Linked DNA regions of Neodiprion lecontei. Each later gene encodes a partner of the first gene's protein in a complex. Links are inferred from orthologs where the notes say so. Each region holds a gene or a part of one and is shown in the gene's direction. Other genes may lie near its edges.

Region 1 (9,610 bases):
TATATCAAGACAGATTCCTCCATCGGCGTATACATTTGGGTGGAACATCTTACTGACAAATCTCACAGTCGGTGGTTTATTTGGATACTCCTCAGTAAACTCTATGGTTAGTTTAAACGTCCCATCTTCAAATGGAGTGTCATGTGGTCTGCAATTTGAGATAGTGATGAAAATACTTCAAAGATTCATTATATTTTTCTGTAATCAAATAGCTAAATGTTGAACTAACTATACTGACTCTATTAACAACTGTAATTTGGCTGGCATTTGACCTTGAAGCAACAATATACGTAGTGATTCATCCAAACTGATGAATAACTATACAGATGCTGGTCAGGTAATGCCATTCACAAGCTCAATAATAACAATCATATTATTATTTCTAAAATGGTATTATTTGATTGGTTGTTCGCTATCTTAAAAGATGAATTTGTAACGATCAATCATAGAAAATAAGAGTTAATAAATATTTGCTAAAATTGAATCAGCTGGAAATAATAAGTTATAAATATTTATGACTCATCGTAATCACAAAGAGGATAATTTTCTTACTGATCGATCTGTACATTATTATCATTTTCTTTCGTATTATTCTGCCTTACGAACACTTACCCAAAAATAACTGCATTCCAAATCATGATATTATTATCTGTTGGTGCGCCAGATACTCCAGTTGGTGGGTCTTCTTGTAACCTGCAAATAAAGCATAAGATTTGTCAAGCTTTTCGATAATTAACAAATAATCAAATCCTTATTCCATCTTTTACCGGTATTCTAACAGTTTTCACTTCAGACATTTGGTTCAATACCGAAGTAATTCTATTTGAATAAAAAACTAAATGTTTAATCATTATTCAATCGAAACAGTTTTTCTTGAAAGTAGCAAAATAAAGTTTAATACTCTCTACATAAAATTAGTTTACGCGTTAATGAAACATGACTGCCCAATGTGTACCATATTCAGTCATGGTCAAGTCGAGTCTGCATACAAATGTCGTCGGTTCAGCAACGAATCACGTTGATTAGCAATTTGAGGATAAACCAATGCTTGATGAACATTGAACAACGAACCACCTGAGGCTTTACAGTTTAGTTGTGCACCTGACGAGTTACTTAATTGAAAAATAACTTAGTCTAAGGGCAGGCGGTAGTTGACTCATCGCGACTAGCTGATAGCTGTTACTCATCGTGTTCCTTATACTACTTTGAGCAAGTCACAAGCATATTTAGGCGTGCAAAATTGCACGTTGCCAAATTAATGAGTAGATATATTTAATTTTCATTGAATTGCGAAAGAGAACAAAGAAGAGATCAGCCATAGGTTTCAACATCGACTATGGATAAGTGGAGGACATTGTGACAATGTGATTTGTCTGACCTAGAACGTCTAACATGTATGACATAAAGCATGGCGATAAAATTGCAATTTGAACATAAACCTGATGTAAAAGTGAACGATTTTCATCAGGAATAGGCGAATGGTTGGAGTAAACAAATAGTATAAAAAGGACGAGAGAGTTGTTTTAAGTGCACGAAAATACAACGTGTATCCTCTGCACCGTTCTCACGGCCTTCTAATAATAATTTCAGAGCACAAGTCACGGTGACGTTCACAGCGGGTAAAACGTCGGTTGTGTTGGTGAATTGGTGAGCATGTGACCATCGTAACGAAACGCTTTTTAACGGGTTAAAACTCTATCGAAGGGGATGACGGGGAGAAGTAAGGTTGAACCGATTATCACGATGCGACCGAGGGAGTTATTGGATTACGTACCTTTTGAAGTCCCTCATGAGTCTCCTTCTGGCAGGGGTGGACATCCCTTACGAATGGGCTGGTCACTTCTCCTCACGAGTAATGTGCTACGACGGGTTCGAGCCACCCAGCGAATCTTTAGCGCTCCTTGGCACACTACGCACGCGGCAGGTTTCTCCGAGAGGAATAATTCGAGAAACAAGGAAAAAGATACGCGCACAAACACCACAGCCGTAGAAGAGCACAATGGGTTTAAGAAAAAAAAGGAGGGAAATAAGATTTCAAAAAAAAAAAAAAAAACCACGCAACGCGCTACGGTCCTTGACGTGCCGTTATTAACGCGGAAACGAGGACGAGGAGCATCCGTTGTCTTCCTTCTGCTGCGTATATCTCGTTCCCCCTGGACTAAAAGCTGCTATCTCTCGATGTAATACCGTTATATTATGTTACAAGAATTGTATCACATTTACTTCTCGAAACTTCTTTTAACTCAACACTGCTTACCCTACCGATAATTGTCTAATTTTACCCGACGCACCAGACCAACACTTGCCTACATGAAAAAGCCCATGTCACAGACAAATTGAGGAAATTCACTTCCTACACTACCAGAACGGAGAACAGTGTGACACACGGAACAGCGGCTGCTGCTGAGCTATTCGGATCTGACGACTGACGTCAGGAATTTAAATCAACCGTGGCGATTAATCGCTTTTACGAACCCAGACTTTCATCCCACACTCCGCGGCGATAAAAACCAGTCCAGAGACGCGTCGCGTCGCCGCGAAATTCGTTCGTCCTGCCACCTCTAGGTGAATTTAAGTTCAAGCTCCTGGTACCACTAAACCACGCAACATATCATACGTGGCGTATGCGCGGTTGCCTTTAGTAAGGCAAATTGTACTCTGTCTTGCTTTTCTTATCGTTAGTTTCCATTACGTTATTTGAAGAAATTTTTTTTCCCACGAGTTTGATACCAGACGAATAAACAGTCGGATTGGCTTTATGGAATATCATTGACCCTGGAAAGAACTTGTTGGAGTGTAGAATCAGAAATTTGTAACTGGTACCACTGCATTACTGAACATTGTTGAACATATAATTTTGAAAAACTGGTAAATTCGAAAAATTAACGACGGAGCCAGGAATCGAACCTGGTATCTAGCGATGCTTTACCGGAGCCTTACTCCACTAGACCACCTAGCCGCCCTGACTCTGATGTCGTTAATTCCTCTCATCACCAGTAAGTTCAAATTTGTTTTCTTGTGCTGTAGTATGTGTGAATATATAAAGTGTTCTTCCTCTTCGAGCACAACTGTAAGAATGTCTGTAAGTGTGTTTACATTTTGGAAACTTACGCTTCTAATGCGAAGCCCGTAAGACAGTCAATGACCGTCTAATAATTGAAATGCGGATATGCATTATCAATATTAATATTAATCACGAGGCATTTTTCATTGTTGAACATATAATTTTGAAAAACTGGTAAATTCGAAAAATTAACGACGGAGCCAGAAATCGAACTTGGTATCTAGCGATGCTTTACCGGAGCCTTACTCCACTAGACCACCTAGCCGCCCTGACTCTGATGTCGTTAATTCCTCTCATCACCAGTAAGTTCAAATTTGTTTTCTTGTGCTGTAGTATGTGTGAATATATAAAGTGTTCTTCCTCTTCGAGCACAACTGTAAGAATGTCTGTAAGTGTGTTTACATTTTGGAAACTTACGCTTCTAATGCGAAGCCCGTAAGACAGTCAATGACCGTCTAATAATTGAAATGCTCGTTGTGCTCGAAGAGGAAGAACACTTTATATATTCACACATACTACAGCACGAGAAAACAAATTTGAACTTACTGGTGATGAGAGGAATTAACGACATCAGAGTCAGGGCGACTAGGTGGTCTAGTGGAGTAAGGCTCCGGTAAAGCATCGCTAGATACCAGGTTCGATTCCTGGCTCCGTCGTTAATTTTTCGAATTTACCAGTTTTTCAAAATTATATGTTCAACAACGAAAAATGCCTCGTGATTAATATTAATATTGATAATGCATATCCGCATTTCAATTATTAGACGGTCATTGACTGTCTTACGGGCTTCGCATTAGAAGCGTAAGTTTCCAAAATGTAAACACACTTACAGACATTCTTACAGTTGTGCTCGAAGAGGAAGAACACTTTATATATTACTGAACATTCATATTTTTTTGATTCTTTTTCCTAAATATAAATAATACACAACGTTGGTTGAAAAATATTTGCTTCGAATACAATAGAAAATTTGGTATATTTGCTCAGCCTGAATCGTTATAAATATGTATGCGTATTTATATTTACCAGGTTGAGCAAGTGGTACTCTTATCAGCATCCATAATGATAAGGATATTTTTGAAATACACCGTTTCCCAAGTTTTCGATAACTCAGTATCCATGCATGCAATTAAATCACAATCATAACCAAACTGATATGATGAGTCGACAGATTTTCACATGAAGAAATGTTATTTGGTCGGATGCTCGTCATTTTAATTACTTCGAGGAATACGATTTCAAATTTCGAATATTGTTCTGAAAAATTGTTGTGATGATCGATAATAGGTTTAACAATATATATTCAACATTATAATTTTTACAATAAATTAATGTAGTGTACATAAGTATACGCCAAAACGATCCGGCGTGTCTTATCAGTTAAAGTGTTGGTAGTAACCGGCATGATAAGTGTATGGTTACACAACAATGCTTACAATTCGTTCATTATTCATCGAGTTCAACGTGTGTCGTAGTTCTCGCGTCGAGTTGGTCGCACGAAATTCATACACCTCTCCACTGCTTTTCTTTGTACCTTCAACTTTATCATTCTTTCACTCAACTCCGTTTAAGCAATTGGAATTGTCTACATTTGGTCATGAGAGTCACGTGGGCTAAAAAAATCTTCAATCAATTTTCAGCACAATGTCTTGTGAGTTTCTTTTTTCATTTCTATCTTATATCAATGACGCTTGTGATCTATTGCCTGTCAGTAAGCGAACGATCACTAAATGTTCGTAACGATAAGCTAATCTGTGCATGACGTGGATATTATATTTTTAATAGTGGCAACTTGTAACATATCATAATGTCCTACCAAAGTAAACATCTCTTGCGTCAATGATAGCTGTCGTGTCGTTGCGATTGCCATACGCATATTAGAGACCTGATATTCTTGAAAGATTGGCGGAAAAGAGGATAATATGTCATAGAATCAAAGACTATTGATTAGAAATTTCAAGAATTCGAAATTCATCAGTTTGTTTCCTATTTCTGAGATTAATATTCTCATGTATGTTCATTTTATAAACGAGTACGTAATACTTACTTTTTCTTTTGATTTTTTTTACAGATTCACAAAGGTAACTTCACCACTTCAGCAACATTTGGACCCAGTAATCCCAAGTTTCCAATTATTTCTAACAATTTCACGGATGAGCTCAAATTTACCAATGCGACTTCATATGGCTCTATTCCAATATATCGAATATTGGGCTCTGCCACTGAGGATGAAGCAATGGCGAATATCGAGGTTTGTTAAAATTCGAATCACCAGTACGAACCCATGTATTTACGATTCAATGTTTGTTGATATTCATATTTTGAATTTTGAATTTGCCAAAAGCTGGAAGAGGCGAAATATATAAAAATGTACAAGGACATGGTAACAATTACTGTAATGGATAAAATACTTTATGAATCTCAACGGCAAGGCCGAATATCGTTCTACATGACTAATTCTGGCGAAGAGACTGTTCAAATTGGAACTGCAGCAGCTTTAAGTCTAAACGATGTTGTTTACGCACAATATCGGGAGGCTGGTGAGTTTAGATTATTTCTTCGTATCGTATCGCGTCCCTCTCACGACTTCAGCAAACTCAAGAAGTTAAATATCGTTGGTCCTAATCGTCAGAGCTGAAATTTACAATCAGGAAATTTGACAGAAATGCTAAGATAGACTTATAAATAATTACTAACATTTTTTATATTCCAGGTGTACTGCTCTGGCGGGGTTTTAAATTAAAACAATTCATGAACCAGTGCTACGGAAACTGTGAGGATATTGGAAAAGGAAAACAGATGCCAGTTCACTACGGATCTAAAGAATTGAACTTCGTTACTATATCATCGCCACTAACGACTCAATTACCGCAGGGTAAAGTAAACGCCATTTCTGTATTATTTTCAATATAAAGTAATTTAGATACGAAATCCATCCACATTTTGTAACTAATTACATGTTTTTTTATATTCCGTCAGCCGTTGGAGCAGCGTACGCATTGAAACTGGCACATTCGGACCGTTGCGTTGCCGTTTATTTCGGAGAAGGTGCAGCTAGTGAAGGAGACGCGCACGCCGCTTTCAATTTCGCAGCTACTCTCGATTGTCCCGTTATATTTATATGGTAAGTGGATGCAGAATTTGGAAAACTACTAGTTTGAACACTTCATCGCCAACAATACATCTACTAAACATGCGAATGGAATTTAAGGATTTAATTTTTTAGTCGGAACAATGGATATGCAATTTCCACTCCAGCTCGTGAGCAGTACAAGGGAGATGGTATCGCGGCCAAAGGACCTGCGTACGGTATTAACACAATTAGAGTCGATGGAAACGATATATTTGCAGTACACAACGCTACGCGTGCAGCGAAAGAGTGGACTTTGGCAAACGGAAAGCCTGTGCTAATCGAAGCAATGTCATATCGGTATAAAACAATCATTACTTCGTAATATTGTTCACTGATGTTTGTTGTTTGTAATTGGTAGTTGTTATAATCACTTAATTGTGACGTTTAGTACGATTGTACGCTCTGATAAAATTACGGTAGCTAATGAGTAATCATTTTTCATGCGTTTAGAATTGGTCATCACAGTACCTCTGATGACAGTTCTGCGTATCGATCAGTGAGCGAGATTGCCGAATGGGAAAAACTGCAACCGATCGCAAGATTTCGCCAGTGCCTAGAAAAATATGGATTGTGGTCTGAGGAGCAGGAAAAAGAATTCGTATCGTCGATCAAAAAGCAGATACTATCGGATTTTGCAGCGGCCGAAAAGAACGTAAAACCCAACTGGAAGGAGGTGTTCACTGACGTGTACTACAACATGCCAGATCATATTAAGTACGTTTACTTTGTACGATCAATGCGAGATAACTGAACGTGTGAAACAATCGGGAGCTAATGGAGTAAACGTTTGATTTATTTTAGGAAACAATCGGAAGCGATGGCAAAGCACGTCGACCAGTACAAAGAACATTATCCAGTAGAACTTTACAAGCAACAGTGAATCAGGTTTAAAATAATTCCAATCCCGAAAACAAATATCGATCTTTACTTACGTACCTTCATTTTTGGGAATCTGAAAACTTTTTCTGTACCTTTGAAAATATATATATAATTTAATCAACAATTCTTCGAGTTTTATTTTGTAAATATCCCGCACGCGTTAAAACTTTAACCGACCGCAGAGAACAAATATGTATAAAGAATACGTATGAATATATTAAGTTTCAAAAAGTATATCGGTAAAAATTGCTGTTTTTATTCGCTAAATCAAAAGTAAATGCAACACTCGGCATGCTTCTCCGATGACGCGCCCGAAACTTGTGTCGCTGCATGAAAATTTAGCCTAACGTTCGTGAAGTTAGGTTCAAGAATTTAGGAATACATAAACATGCCAAGACCCTGGGTTATTTTTCGTAACGGTTTGCCGGGTCTGGCCGGGTTTGGGGGTATTAGCAGTTTCACGTATTATCAACCAAGTAATTGATCATGCCGGTAAAAGAAGTTCTTCATAACCAACAATTATCGCGTGCAAAACGTTGGTAACATATCGTCGTCATCGCAAAATTGAAAAGTTGAGAAAATCTCGTGCAAGAAATACGTACGCCGAAATTATACAACGGATAAATAAATGTCAATCAAATAGGTATGTCGGAGACGTGTTTTTGTTTGCAAAACTATGCGAGAAGTCTGCGAAACATCAGAAACGTACAATCTAAATATTACTGATCAAACCTCGACTCAAATTGATGCAGTTTAAACTGTTGAAAAATATCGAAAAACTTAACTTCCAGGAGTTTAGATGTGCATATACATGATTTTGCAAATGGGTGAAGCAGGGTAAAAAACTACAGCCTAAACTTTGCAGAGAAATTAAAAACATTTAATTCAGTTAACAGTAACATTCGTCAAATATCAGAATCAACTTTCTACGAATAACAATTTTACACTCAACGGTAATTGATATCAATTTAAACTAGTATTGCCAGTTCATTCTAATTCTTTATTCCGACTGTCCATTCCCTGCGTAAAGGATTAGTGATTAGTGACGTGTGATTACGCGTAAACGATGAAGTCGTCTGGTTCAAGGTTCAGTTCATTACTTATTTTAACACATTAGTTTAACAATAAGTAATTTCTGGAGCAAGGCTCCGATTTGTTAGGGGGTGTTCCGTGTTATTCTCCAACTACGGCAAAAGTCTGCAAAATAAACAATAAATTGAAAAATACGATGTACAACCTATTACTGGTGAGATGCTAACGTCAGAATATTGTCTCAGAAAAGACCAATCGATTGTTGGAAGCAGAACACTTTTGAAGCTTCCGAACGGTCTTACAACTTTTCCGCTATGTGTTTTTCACAGAAATATCGTAATTTAAAGAGTGCACGTCTCCAAACTTCTTGGTACGACCTTTGACGCATTCATTCGAGCGATAAACAGTTCAGCATGAAACCATCCGTATATAATTGATAAGGATTTGATTACAAATAATCCGGAAAATCCATCTTCAGGTGGTATCAGTCGTTATAGTTTCTCATATCCAATTTAGAATTGTAATTAATTGACATCGTTTTTCAAAAAAGTTTTATTAGTGGAACGTAGGATTGAGCTGCATTAAATAACGTTCAATTGTTATTAATTTACTTTATATCGGCGAAACCTTATTCGGATATTATTTATCAATGTCACTTTTTGTCTATGTAAATTTGGGTTGCATGTTCCAAAAATTGGATTCATACTGTAAGTTCTGTCTTTCGGACTTTCAACATTTAATTAACTAGTAATTTTCTACCGAGTTGATCAATGCATCATTTTCATTCGCGTTTAATCATAATAATTTATAAATTTTACCTCCTCAACACTACAACACTCGGTAAACTTTCAACTTTCGTCCTGAACGACACAATTGCAAGTCATATTGTTATTACTATATGGAGAATCTTCTTGTAAAAAAAATTCCAGTACTGACAGGTAATTTGTGGACAATTCGTACACTTTGACAATATTTCCTGGTGAAAATAGTAGAAGATAAATAGTTTGTGATGAATAACATCTTAAAAATATGAGCATTTCCTATAATTCTGACTAAAAAATATCGTCAAAGTTTACGAGGTGTCCGCAAATTACCATTCAGTATGGGATTTCTTGTTACAAAAGGTATCTCGATTGTAATGTAGTTCACTTTCCTGAAGAAATAAAATTCAAAAATGACTCCTTACTGATGGATATTGTATGGCCGGATATCCGGCCAAATCGCTATCCGGCACATCCCTAATATTATTATTAAGGGTTATCAGTAAAATGCAGAAATTACGGGTAAAATAGTATCGACTTCGTCGGGTATATGTATTATATTCTCAAACTCGCAATTCCTAATAATCGATACGGGCACTGCCATAAATGTATAATAAAGCGGACAGATACGGGCAATTATAATCTGGGCCACTTGGTAATAAATTTCTGAACAATCCTGTGTTTGGAGGTCAGCGGACAGAGTCGTAAACTAACCAGGTAATGAGTAGAAGTTGTAAAAAG
Region 2 (11,273 bases), on another chromosome or scaffold:
TTCAGGCTCGAGTAGCTGGAATGCAGCAACAGGTGAATCAAAAGTATGACGCAGTAGTTTTATAACAATGAAATGGAGAGTTGATTTTTCTTTTGTTAATACTTAATTTGCACTCCTGTCAGAATAAACGACTACATTCATTTGCCCGAGGCTTTGCCAGTCAGAGAAAAAGTGCATAAAGATAGAAACAAGAATATCGACCTGGAAGAAGAGGCTGAGAAATTGAACGAACGTGTTTCTACACTAGAGGCTGATTTGAGTATAGCTAAGGAGTTGGGAGAACGATGGCATCGACTTGCTGAAGAGAGACTGAAGCACATGGACCACATGAGAGGAAGGTATCGTATTTTTTTATCAATTTTTAATGTAGTTGAAAGCGGGCTGCCCCCGTGACCCTTACGCGCAGTATCCAATTTGTTTGATACAGATTAGATGAACAGCACAAAAATGAGCTAGAGAGCTACAGAATGGAGCGCGACAAGTGGCAGCTCGAGGCTGATACACTGAGGCAACAATTATCTGACAACAGAGTGCAGCTTGCTAAGGGAAACAGTTTGTTATCCAAAGAGTTGCAAGAAAGGGATAATCGAATTCACGAGCTTGACATAGCTTATCAGGAGCTGCAGGTAACACACGACGTTTTTTAATCGTTTAGTGAATGATATCAACGTGTACAAACATGTCTGATTTTTAAAGAACGAGATGGAACTCGCTGAGAGAAACACAGTTTCGCGACAGACGGTAGCTCATGATTCTAAGATGCAGGAGATCACTAACAGTATTGGGAGAGCTCAGTCCAACCAGTTGCAATCTCAGTTGGATCTTGCCCGTAAGCAACTACAGGCACTGGCGGAAAAAGAGAAGAATTACAAAAGTCAGATCGTCGATCTCAAACAGCAGCTGAGTCGGAGGTGCGAAGATAATTCACTGTAGAGTTAAAAATTTCCCCTTAGCCATACTCGTGTTAGCCTTTTGTAAACCGTTTGTACCAATATTACTACACTGTCTCATTGACTAAATCTCCAGGTACATGGCAGCTAAAACCCACGAACAAAGAAACTCTCAGCGTGAAATACAACTTGAAAGAAAAGCGAGGGGATTAGAGGAAGAGTTGCATACGCTCAAACTACAACTGGAAAGAGAAAAATTCACGCACGAAAATAAGAAACTCAAAGTATACTTCACTCGAGTTAAATGTTGCACAATTTAAGCGACGGGAAACCATAACGCGACAAATAAATTTGCATTTAGAAATACTGTAAATAATCATCAAAATCCGGTATTTGTACGCGTTATGGGTTTCCGGTCCCGAGAGCGTGCTCATAATCATTAAATCATAATTTATGTTCAAGCTTTACGTTCAGATAGTTAAAGCTTTCATGTAATTTAATATTTCCATTCGTTTCATATGCCAACAGACAGCAGAGGAACTAGCACTGTGGGACAAGCAAAAACGATGGCAACAAACGGCTGAGAAGTTCAAGGAAAAATTGAAGGATAAGACAGAGGAGTACAACAAGCTGCAAGCGAATCACGAGAAGCTCAGAGCAGTAGTGTCCTGCATGGAGCGTGAAAAATGGTACCTACGAAGTAAGTTGAGGTGCGAAAATGGCTGCCTCATTGGTAGCTTGTCCGCTAGACCTAGAACGTTGAACCACACGGATATCCTGGAAGATCTTCAGCACGAATGCCACACGCTGAGAAGCAGAGTCCGAGAACTAACCGATCGTCTCGAGAGTGCGGACACGTCACAGCTAATTTTACAGATCGAGGCACAACGACGACAGATTTCATCTCTGGAAACCGTGACCAAGGTATTTATTTTATATCTGTATATTCATTTTGTTCACCTGTTCAGTCTTTATTTCAATCTATCAGGGAAACGAGTATGTCGTCGACCAATTGGAGAGACTTGAGGCGACAAAAGACGTCCTGGAGAAGAACAATCTAAAGTTAGAAAGCGAGAACTTGGAGCTGCGGCTTGAGATCGAACGTATTGTTCTAGATACCCCGAGATTGAGGGAGAAGGTTGAGCATTTAGAAAAGTAAGTCTCTCCGTCCGAGTTGTTGTCGTGAATGAACAGTGCACGCATAAGTTGCAATATTATCTCTGATCGCCAGATACGTGGAACTACTGAAAGTAGAAAAATCTACCGAATCATCGCCGCGTTTATTTCCAAAGGAATCTCACGAGCATGGAAACAAATCAACCGTTGAACTCGAGAAAACCGTGTTTACTTTGAAGCGGGTAATCGAGAAGCTCCAAGCGGAGAACAAGCGTTTAAAAGTAATCGCGAAAAAGAATCCCCACCCGCAATCAATGGTAATAAAATAATAATTAGCTCGCGAGATATCCCTGAGCAATACCTCGATCAGGGTGATAGTCAACCGGCAGTAAAATATTTCTTCCTTTTATTATTCAGACAAGGCCAAACAGCGGCGGAAGCACTTCGTCCCTTCACGGGCAATACGAAAGAGCGCAGCAGCGCGTTGTTGCCCTAGAAACCGACCTCCAATTAGCCGAACAAAGAATAGCGATGCTTGAGAATTCGCGGAAGGAAGAGGACAACGCGGGAGAGATTGGCGTTTTAAGGCAGCAACTTGCGCACAAATCGGAACTGCTTGACAAAGTTAAACAGCTACTGACCAGGGCTGCTATTAACGAAAAATCATTGCGGCAGAAGGTGCGTTGGAAAAATTGAACAGTGGGTAAAACAAAGCGTAAATACTGTGTCTTTCAGATCCAAATGCTCGAGGCTAAACAATCCTTGGAAACCATACCAGAGTGCTACGTATCGCCGCCAACTCCGGACGACTGAGAGTATGTTTAATTAACTAGTCGAGGATGAACATGAACCTGGACTTGTCATCGACGATCATGTGTGTGTTCTCTTTCTTTATTTTATCTAGTCTTAAGGATAAGTAACGAATCGACGAAGCAAGACACCGATATTTATTACACACATTTGAAATTAGCCGAAAACAGTACATAATTTGTAAGGCGGATCAAGACGAATACACGCACGTGAACCTTCAAGGTACCCAAGTATTTCTATATCTATAGAAAGCCTGCGAGGAAATATGAAAAAATGATAATTTTTTTTCTCTCATAACAGAGGAAAAGTGAAAGTTGAAATTTCCGAGAGAAATTCTTCAACAGGTTTCAAAGATGCGAGACGACGTGTGGCGCAATTCGCGGGCAATCGGTATCTGCGAAAATAAACTGCCGATGTAGATAAAAGACGAAACCGTGTGAGTGGTATGTTAATTAATAATTCGTACGGTTATCAAAAAGTCCGGACTGCGGTATATAAGATTGCCAAATGTTACGTATCTATGTACATACATGTAATGTACGCGATATAGATACGAATATGTTGCGCGCGTTACGAAATCCGGTGAAGGTCACGACCCTGCGTAAACCCCAGGTCGAGATAACGCTTTGTGTGTTAATACAATATATATTGCGTGTGTTAGCGATAACGGGGCCCGCGCGTCACTACGAAACACAGTATTTGACGAGCATGGCTACCAGCAAGTTCTGTTCGCGTCTCCGCAACGTTACAAGATTGTCAATAACAAATTCAGGCAGCATTTTCCCCGCCGTCGCTCCGTCAACAATCCGGCATGCAGGAATCGGAAGAACGCATTTCACCTACGCACCGGAATCCCCGCCAACGAATTCCGGTAATCTACGAATATGAAAAGAAGTCTAAAGACTCCTTGTTTTTTTTTCATTCTTTTTTTTTTTTGTTTTGTTTTTTTCATTACTTTGAATTGATTCGAAAGAAAATGAGAATAATAAAAATTAAAGAAAAAGAAACGGCAGCGTCGATCGGGTGATGTGTGTTACAACATGCGGATCATGCTCTTGCACCAGTTCGTGGTTTCCTCGTCATTTTACTTCTCCGCTCCCCCCCCCCCCCCCTCCCCCCTACCCCCTTTCTTTTTCTTTTTGTTTTCGTCTCTCATACGAGAAGTTGAACGAGGTCGTTGGCTATCCGCGGGGCTACTCGATATACAGGATTTTACTTAAGGTCTTTCATTATATACCAGATTCGCGAAGGATATGTACGTTATACTTATTCACCGATTCGCAATTAACGCTTGTCGGCACGTTGAACGAAAAAAAAAAGAACACGATAATAATAATGATATAATGCTCGTTCTCACACGCTCAAACGTCAACTTATCACATGGTCGTAAATTATTGCGATATTTTTACCATACCCGTGAATTGATTGTAGAGATTCTGTTACCAATTTCTCTTTCTATCTGCGAGAGGAATCACCTCGCATCGTTGAGAAATTCTTGACCGTTTATACGACTGCATACCTGTATGTATATGTACGTGCACGTGTACACAGGTGATACGCAAGAGATGAACATGTTCAAAGCAATAAACAACGGCCTTGCACTCAGCATGGAAGCGGACGAATCGGCAGGTAATATACCATTTTCACACATACTACCTTGCTAAGATTCGATGATTTGTACGTAAAGTGAACGTAACCATTTACTTATCTACAAAGTACGTGAAATTTATCTTGTCATTATCCAACAAGCAGATTTCGCGAACCGTGTATATCGGGCAATAAGATCTACGAATTTGCATTAACATTCTACCAGAAATCATAACTGAGAAGCTGTATACACTTTCCTTTCATTTTTTCTATTTTTGCCCAAATTCGTATAATCTACGACCGGTACACACGCAAAAGTCGTTCCAACTTTACTACAAACAATAATTCTTATCTTATCGTCACTTTTCTAATACTGTAGGTATAGGAGGTATATACGAATTTCCAAATTTACGTTTTAGTTTTAGTTTTTCTTTTTTTTTTTTTATCATTTTTTAATAAATCTCTCTCTTCTACCGTCGCGATAATGACGTATAAATTACTTTTACGAATGAGAAATGGATTACAATAGCAAATGGAAGTTGACGCATTGCATACCTTATATCCACGCTTATAACAGTATTCTTCGGGGAAGACGTGGCCTTCGGCGGTGTCTTCAGGTGTTCGATGGGTCTTCAGGAACGCTTTGGTAAAGATCGGGTATTCAATACGCCGCTTTGCGAGCAGGGAATCGTCGGTTTCGGCATCGGCATCGCGAACATGGGATCGACCGCAATTGCGGAAATACAATTCGCCGACTATATTTTCCCCGCCTTCGATCAGGTAAGGAAAAACTTGCCGCGATCTCCGGCGATTCTAAGGTTGAAGATAATTTACAGGAACAAAAAATAAAAGAAATGAAAATCATTTTCACTTCAAGCTCGTCAACGAGGCTGCCAAAATGCGGTACCGCAGCGGCGGAGACTACGATTGCGGAAAATTGACCGTCAGGGCACCATGCGGAGCGGTCGGTCACGGCGGTCTCTACCATTCCCAATCACCCGAAGCTTATTTCGCTCACACTCCAGGCCTCAAGGTCAGTTCACGTCGTATCCTCGTTACAAAGAAAAATCGATTTTCATTCGAAAATATTCAAAGGGTCGATCGTACAAGTGGTGACCGAAAGCTGTCCCTTATCCTTCCCCTTGACTCATCTGAATTTCGCACCCGCACTTTCGCAGATTAAAAACTCGTCCAAGTTTCTTGTTTTTTTAAGCATCGCGCGGCTCTGGACTGTTTTAGTAATAATGATAATAATAATCATGATAATAATAATAACGAGACGTGACTTGGAATTAAAACAAAGGGAGAAAAGCACGCAACCCTTCGCAACGTGTACTTCTTTCTAAAATTTTGCAAATTGTCCCCAGGTCGTGGTGCCTCGTGGACCGATAAAAGCCAAGGGTTTGCTGATGAGTTGCGTGGCCGAGCCTGATCCCTGCATAATATTTGAGCCAAAAATTCTTTACCGTGCCGCGGTTGAGGAGGTTCCGATCGGCAGATACGTTACGGAAATCGGCAAGGCGGAAATCGTCAGGAAAGGTCAGCCGCTTTCCCCGCATCTCTGATTTCGATTTAACCATCTTCGTGAAGTTTCCCTGCGATACTAATGACGACAAAAAAAAAAAAAAAAAGTCAAACTTACGCACGCACGCGCGCACATTCTTCTTTCTTTATCAATGTTCTCCGTTCTTCAGGCACCGACGTAACTCTCGTCGGCTGGGGAACTCAGGTTCACGTTCTGATCGAAGTTGCGAATCTCGTCGAGGAGAAGCTCGGAGTTTCCTGCGAGGTGATTGACCTCGTTACAATCCTCCCGTGGGACGTGGATGCCGTTTCTCAGGTGATTTTAATCCCCGTTTCGAATCGTCGAGGGTCGAGACGTGCGCATAGCCCAGGAATATAAATTTTTCCTCAATTTGTCGAAGTCAACGTTATACACTGCGGTTTCATCAAATGATCAAAATAATCAACTCATTTAACGTTAACTGCTTTTCAGTCGGTGAAAAAAACCGGTCGATTGATCATCGCCCACGAGGCACCGCTCACCTGCGGTTTTGGAAGCGAAATAGCAGCTACTATTCAGGTAAACTTTAACCTACCGTTCAACAAACATTTCACATTGTGTTCGTCATTTCATCAATCCAGAAACATCCGATTACTCACGCGAGATTCAATATCGAGGGTATAATGGAGGGAGGGCTCGACTTTTTTAGTGTGAATTAAAGATTTTTTTCTTTTGTGAAATTTTTACCGAATTCCGATCGCAGCTAATCGTTGAACCGTTAAATTTTTCTTCAGCGCATGCTCGTTATAATGAAACTTTCGATATTCCTGTTGGACGCAATGCTAATCATATAATAAAAAAGGACGTGATATACACGGACGATCGATCGGGAAGAGCGAATGCACCTTCTAAAACTTTCATTTCCTAATTGCTCGGTGACTCGGCGAAGCTTTTGTCTCGAAAACGGAGTTGCGAGATCGTAATCGAAGAGGAATTGACGCGTGGATTAAATATTACCGGGCGAAAGGATATAACAATAAGCGGAAGCATCGCGTGCAGATGCGGATGCTCGAGGTGTTTTTTTTACAACCGTATAAAAATTTGATTCCGATTAACGCAAGGCCTTTTGTGCTATAACGGCAATAATTCGATGACGTTTTAAGCGTATTACATTGTCTTCTTACGTCAATATGAGTCACGTATCGAGGAAGTAAACCGCGTAATGCCGTAAAGCGTTGTGACGGTAACAAATAAATATTTGTAAATATAAAACGACAATCGCATCAGCAAAAAAGCCGGTAGATTCTACTCATAGCCTCCTTTTTTTCAACGAAGATAAACGAATGCTCGCATTTTCGCACAGATTACGAAAGTAATTCCCATCATCGATAAAGTAACAATTTATACGCACACCTTGTAACTTTTGAGTAAAAATAACGCGATGCACAGGAATCGTGTTTCCTGAGCCTGGAGGCGCCGATCCAGCGAGTCACAGGATGGGACACGCCGTTTCCACACATTTTCGAGCCCTTTTATCTCCCCGACAAATGGCGGTGCTTCGACGCTGTCAAGAACATCGTCAACTACTGATAATCCTCGATTCCAGGACGCCAAATCGTCGCACCCGACCGATCCTCTTTCAAAGGACGTGGAAGTGGAAGAAGAAATCCTTCATTACACGCAACGCGGAACAAAGGCTATACTTTAATGTACAATTTCTTTGTTTTTCTTTTTTTTTTTTACTTTCACCTATCTCGCATGTACGTTATAATATAATATCTTGAAAATTCTAAGCTGCAAAGAGCTCTCGTGCGCTCTCCCCGACAGGGAAATACTTTTATTATCCCGTAACTTGTGCGGGTGAAACCTTGAATCGTGTGGTAAGGGGGATGAAAATTTTCGAAAGTACACGGACATCGAGACGTGGCGCGATCCGGTTTTTCTTAATTACTCCCGCCGGGTACATACATGGATTTAGGTAGAAATGTGTACGTGTGTAGGCAGTCGGCGACAAAAGTCAATGATTCGAAAGGACGTCCTTGCCGCTCGGGCGCTGCTGCATGATCTATAACTGCACGTCGGTTTGTACACAGGCATTATCATACAGCCTGAAAGTCTGCGGTGTACGTGATTTCTGTTCCCAATATAATAAGGGATCTGGAAATGAGAAAATCAAGTTTAATTCAATGGAACGATTCAGGATAATAAAAATATTGTACGTAACGTGTATACCTTATATGTACGTCAACTCTAGAACCGTAATTTATTCCCGTAATTTTCTTTCCATTTCACGTCTCCGATCCCGCATGACATAGGATAATATAATGATAAGAACAGTAGTGGAAATCGAATAACACGACGCGGTGACAAAAGTGGGGAAAACAAGCGTGCGGGAGTTGCTCGCCAGCTTTTGGCTAACCGAGAATCTGAAACGACGATCTAATCTTTGGAGATATTCGATCTTTTCACGGTCGATATAAATCAGAGCGCTCGATAAGTAGCCGATCGCGATTTTACACCCAGGATATGGGTAAACAAAAAATAACGCTTCGTACAATCGGTCATTCGATTGCGAAGGGTAATCAAATCAACGCCGACGGTGCAAAAATACTCGAGTCGATTCGACGCAAAGTCATGTCACGAACCCTGTAGTAACGCGATTCTTTTCTCCCGGATACAGCAAAAATCGGCATCAACGAATCGCGACAATTTGTTGCAACAAGGCGCTGATGTACTATACGCAGAACCAGCGCCGAGGCATAGACTGCATAGACATCGGGTATATATAATACGCGAAAATATGCGGTTTCGCAACGAAACGCCCCGAAGCGGCAAAAACCTCATCGCACCATTGCTCCGGATACAGAATACATACACTGGCTGTATTGTGTACGTACACGTATGCACGCAGACCGAGCGAGACTCGCGACCAGGTGTGGACGTGTAATTCACCGGCTCTTACAGGGCTACCTACTGACCATGGCCCAATTCCGTCGATCAGCCGGCCTGAATTACCGCCTGTCAAAATTAACGACTTGTGTACGCGATCTCCGACGATCAGGCTGCTGATCCTTAAAAGCCCTCTTGACGTATCAAGGAAGTCGTGCCTGAATCCGTAAAGTCGGCATCGTCCGCGCGTAAATGTACAATAATACCCCCTGATGAAAATGATTTCTACGATTTTATACGAATTTTTAACAAAATTCGTACATTGCGTAGAATTTTGTGCAAAAATTTACATAGATTTTCGTCAAATTTGTTTTTTCTCTCGGGAAAAGATCGACAAGCTACTACAATTTTCAAGGAAGTTTAACAATTCTTCACGAAAAACTATGCGTATTTACAAGTTTGTGAGAAATAATACGAAATGTTCCAATTTCTGTGAAAGATCGTAGTAGTAGAACTTTCCGTCCGGTTACTCGGCTCTTTTGTATAAGCAAAAATTCCCCCGTGCGTACCGTATAACAATTCCACTGCGGGGGGTGTCGAATTCATACAATCAATGTTGATGCATTGAGAATAACCCAACAATTACCTTGTAAAAAATTGGCGGTCAAAATCGACCAACAGCGCCGATGTGGACTACTATGGAAAAATTTTTGTGATCATTTTAGAATTTGAACGTCAGATAACTTTAAATTGATACCAAAAAACATTCCGTCAAAGTCGACACCGCATGTTTTTTACAGTGTACCGATTACTACCTGAGGATTAGATAATCAATCGGCGAGCTGCGAAATGATTTCGAGATTTGTGCGTTTGATACGTTTCTTTGCAACATCGTCCACTGTCAAATTGCACCGATTAAAATTGACGATATTGAAAAAGCAAGCGTGATTTCCTTCCACTTGATCGGCATGTAACACATCATACATGTACGTACGTAATACCTGCAAAATATACAGTGTACATACCTATATTCTAACGATGAGGAAAGCTGATCCGTCTGACTTCCGAAGGACGTGAACTTTAAAAGACGTCCCGGATAGAACGTCGCTGAATGTAGGCATTAAGCATATATACCTTAACCAGCTGTACCCGATGCGCACACACAGATGCTGATGAGGAACCCGTTCTCGGAGTCCGCGAACTTCGATGCAGTATCCGCGACGACCGGAGTCGAGAATTCATTAAAAATAGGTGCGTAATAACGAGTCTCTTGCCCCTGGAGGCGAGAAGCGTTTGAACCGGCGATTTTGCTTTCCCGCATTTTCACGGGGTCATTTCCTTTCGCGTTTTGGGTAAATGAGGGCATTCCTTGTGCCTGTCGAAGAAGGAGACGCGGTTGTTTTAAGTCACCTAGGATTTTCTACGTTCGTCGTGTGACTGTTGGGAGAATTTTCTCTCCGAGTCCCAAAGGGAAGGTTAACGATCTACGCGACGTATAACAATCGATAATTAATTTACCCACAAAACCGCGGCGCTTGGGGAAACACGTATATGTATTATAAGAACATGCCGAAATGGTTAATAGTAGACTGAAATATGTAACGCACGTACGTTGTATCCCAGTCTGCCTCCCATTCGAATAGATGTCGGACACGGATTCAGGGTTCGTACGCACAGGGAAAACCGAGAGAAGTCAAGAAATTTCCAAAATAGGACTGGAATTTTTAGTCCGTCTCGAAAAAAATAAACTCGTTCTTACACGGAGTAATATCGATCTTGAGAAGAAAAAAAATTGTACTTAGTATTTTGTTTCGTCGCACTTCGTACGTTCTACGTATGTTACTTGATACCAAACCTTGTTTCGTTTTTTTCTTACCGAAAATCGCAGGCTGTTCTCTGTAAATCGATAGTCAGATAGTAAGATATTTACTAGGTAGTAACGTGTAAAAGAAATTGTCTTTATTCGTCGGTATATTTTTCGACACGTTAGTGGAAAAATGATATTTTCAGGCTCGAATACCTGAAAAAGTCGGGAAATTTGATATTCCAATAACCGTACGAACCCCGGGCATGCACCGCGGTACGAAATCGGATCATGACTGGTAAAGGCTGGAACTGGGCTGAAAAATGTCAAGTTGGCAAATAGGCATGACATATGGATAAAGGCGGCATAATCGTAGTCGACCGATAAGCGGGCGGGGCAATTGAGTAAAAATCGGTTTCGCATATGGGTCGATCAGGTACGACTGCACATGCATTACGCCAGACGACGCGGGTATTGCGCACAGGCACAAAGAAACGCGGGGACTTCGGATGCATGATGTAAAAATGGCGAACGCTGCGGCGAGCAAAGCAAAGCAAAGCAAAGCAAAGTAAAGGTGTAGGAAGTTCGCTGCCGCGGAGTTGATCCAGGCCTGCAGCGTAAAATCTGTGTCCGTGTGTGCGTGCGCGCTTAGCCTGAACAGATATGCGCGTAT

The links.
Region 2: the proteins of 2-oxoisovalerate dehydrogenase subunit alpha, mitochondrial (region 1) and 2-oxoisovalerate dehydrogenase subunit beta, mitochondrial are in contact, whole or in part, in a crystal structure (PDB 1V16), measured with the Homo sapiens proteins. The link is inferred for Neodiprion lecontei from reciprocal best matches to the Homo sapiens genes BCKDHA and BCKDHB. Residues at the interface, in NP_000700.1 of Homo sapiens: Phe155, Leu185, Gly186, Lys187, Arg189, Gln190, Gly196, Cys197, Lys198, Phe202, Val203, Thr204, Ser206, Pro208, Thr211, Pro214, Gln215, Val217, Gly218, Ala219, Tyr221, Ala222, Arg225, Gly244, Asp245, Ala248, Asn251, Phe252, Thr255, Leu256; in NP_000047.1 of Homo sapiens: Pro89, Thr90, Val92, Asp117, Arg118, Phe120, Asn121, Thr122, Pro123, Cys125, Gln127, Gly128, Ile129, Gly131, Phe132, Ile134, Gly135, Ile136, Val138, Thr139, Asp158, Gln159, Asn162, Glu163, Ala165, Tyr167, Arg168, Tyr169, Arg170, Ser171.

The regions. Positions count from the first base shown.
Region 1 is NC_060263.1:34,350,766-34,360,375, forward strand, and holds 2-oxoisovalerate dehydrogenase subunit alpha, mitochondrial, read left to right. Parts: upstream 1-4,478; coding exon 4,479-4,715; intron 4,716-5,135; coding exon 5,136-5,315; intron 5,316-5,408; coding exon 5,409-5,604; intron 5,605-5,777; coding exon 5,778-5,939; intron 5,940-6,043; coding exon 6,044-6,188; intron 6,189-6,290; coding exon 6,291-6,494; intron 6,495-6,647; coding exon 6,648-6,911; intron 6,912-6,998; coding exon 6,999-7,077; 3' UTR 7,078-7,200; downstream 7,201-9,610. Other genes in the region: ubiquitin-conjugating enzyme E2-17 kDa, read right to left, coding at 1-148, 613-693, 1,775-1,818. UniProt on the Homo sapiens protein: Together with BCKDHB forms the heterotetrameric E1 subunit of the mitochondrial branched-chain alpha-ketoacid dehydrogenase (BCKD) complex.
Region 2 is NC_060260.1:1,512,608-1,523,880, forward strand, and holds 2-oxoisovalerate dehydrogenase subunit beta, mitochondrial, read left to right. Parts: upstream 1-3,484; 5' UTR 3,485-3,524; coding exon 3,525-3,687; intron 3,688-4,367; coding exon 4,368-4,445; intron 4,446-4,980; coding exon 4,981-5,183; intron 5,184-5,280; coding exon 5,281-5,436; intron 5,437-5,770; coding exon 5,771-5,942; intron 5,943-6,097; coding exon 6,098-6,243; intron 6,244-6,399; coding exon 6,400-6,486; intron 6,487-7,356; coding exon 7,357-7,497; 3' UTR 7,498-8,130; downstream 8,131-11,273. UniProt on the Homo sapiens protein: Together with BCKDHA forms the heterotetrameric E1 subunit of the mitochondrial branched-chain alpha-ketoacid dehydrogenase (BCKD) complex.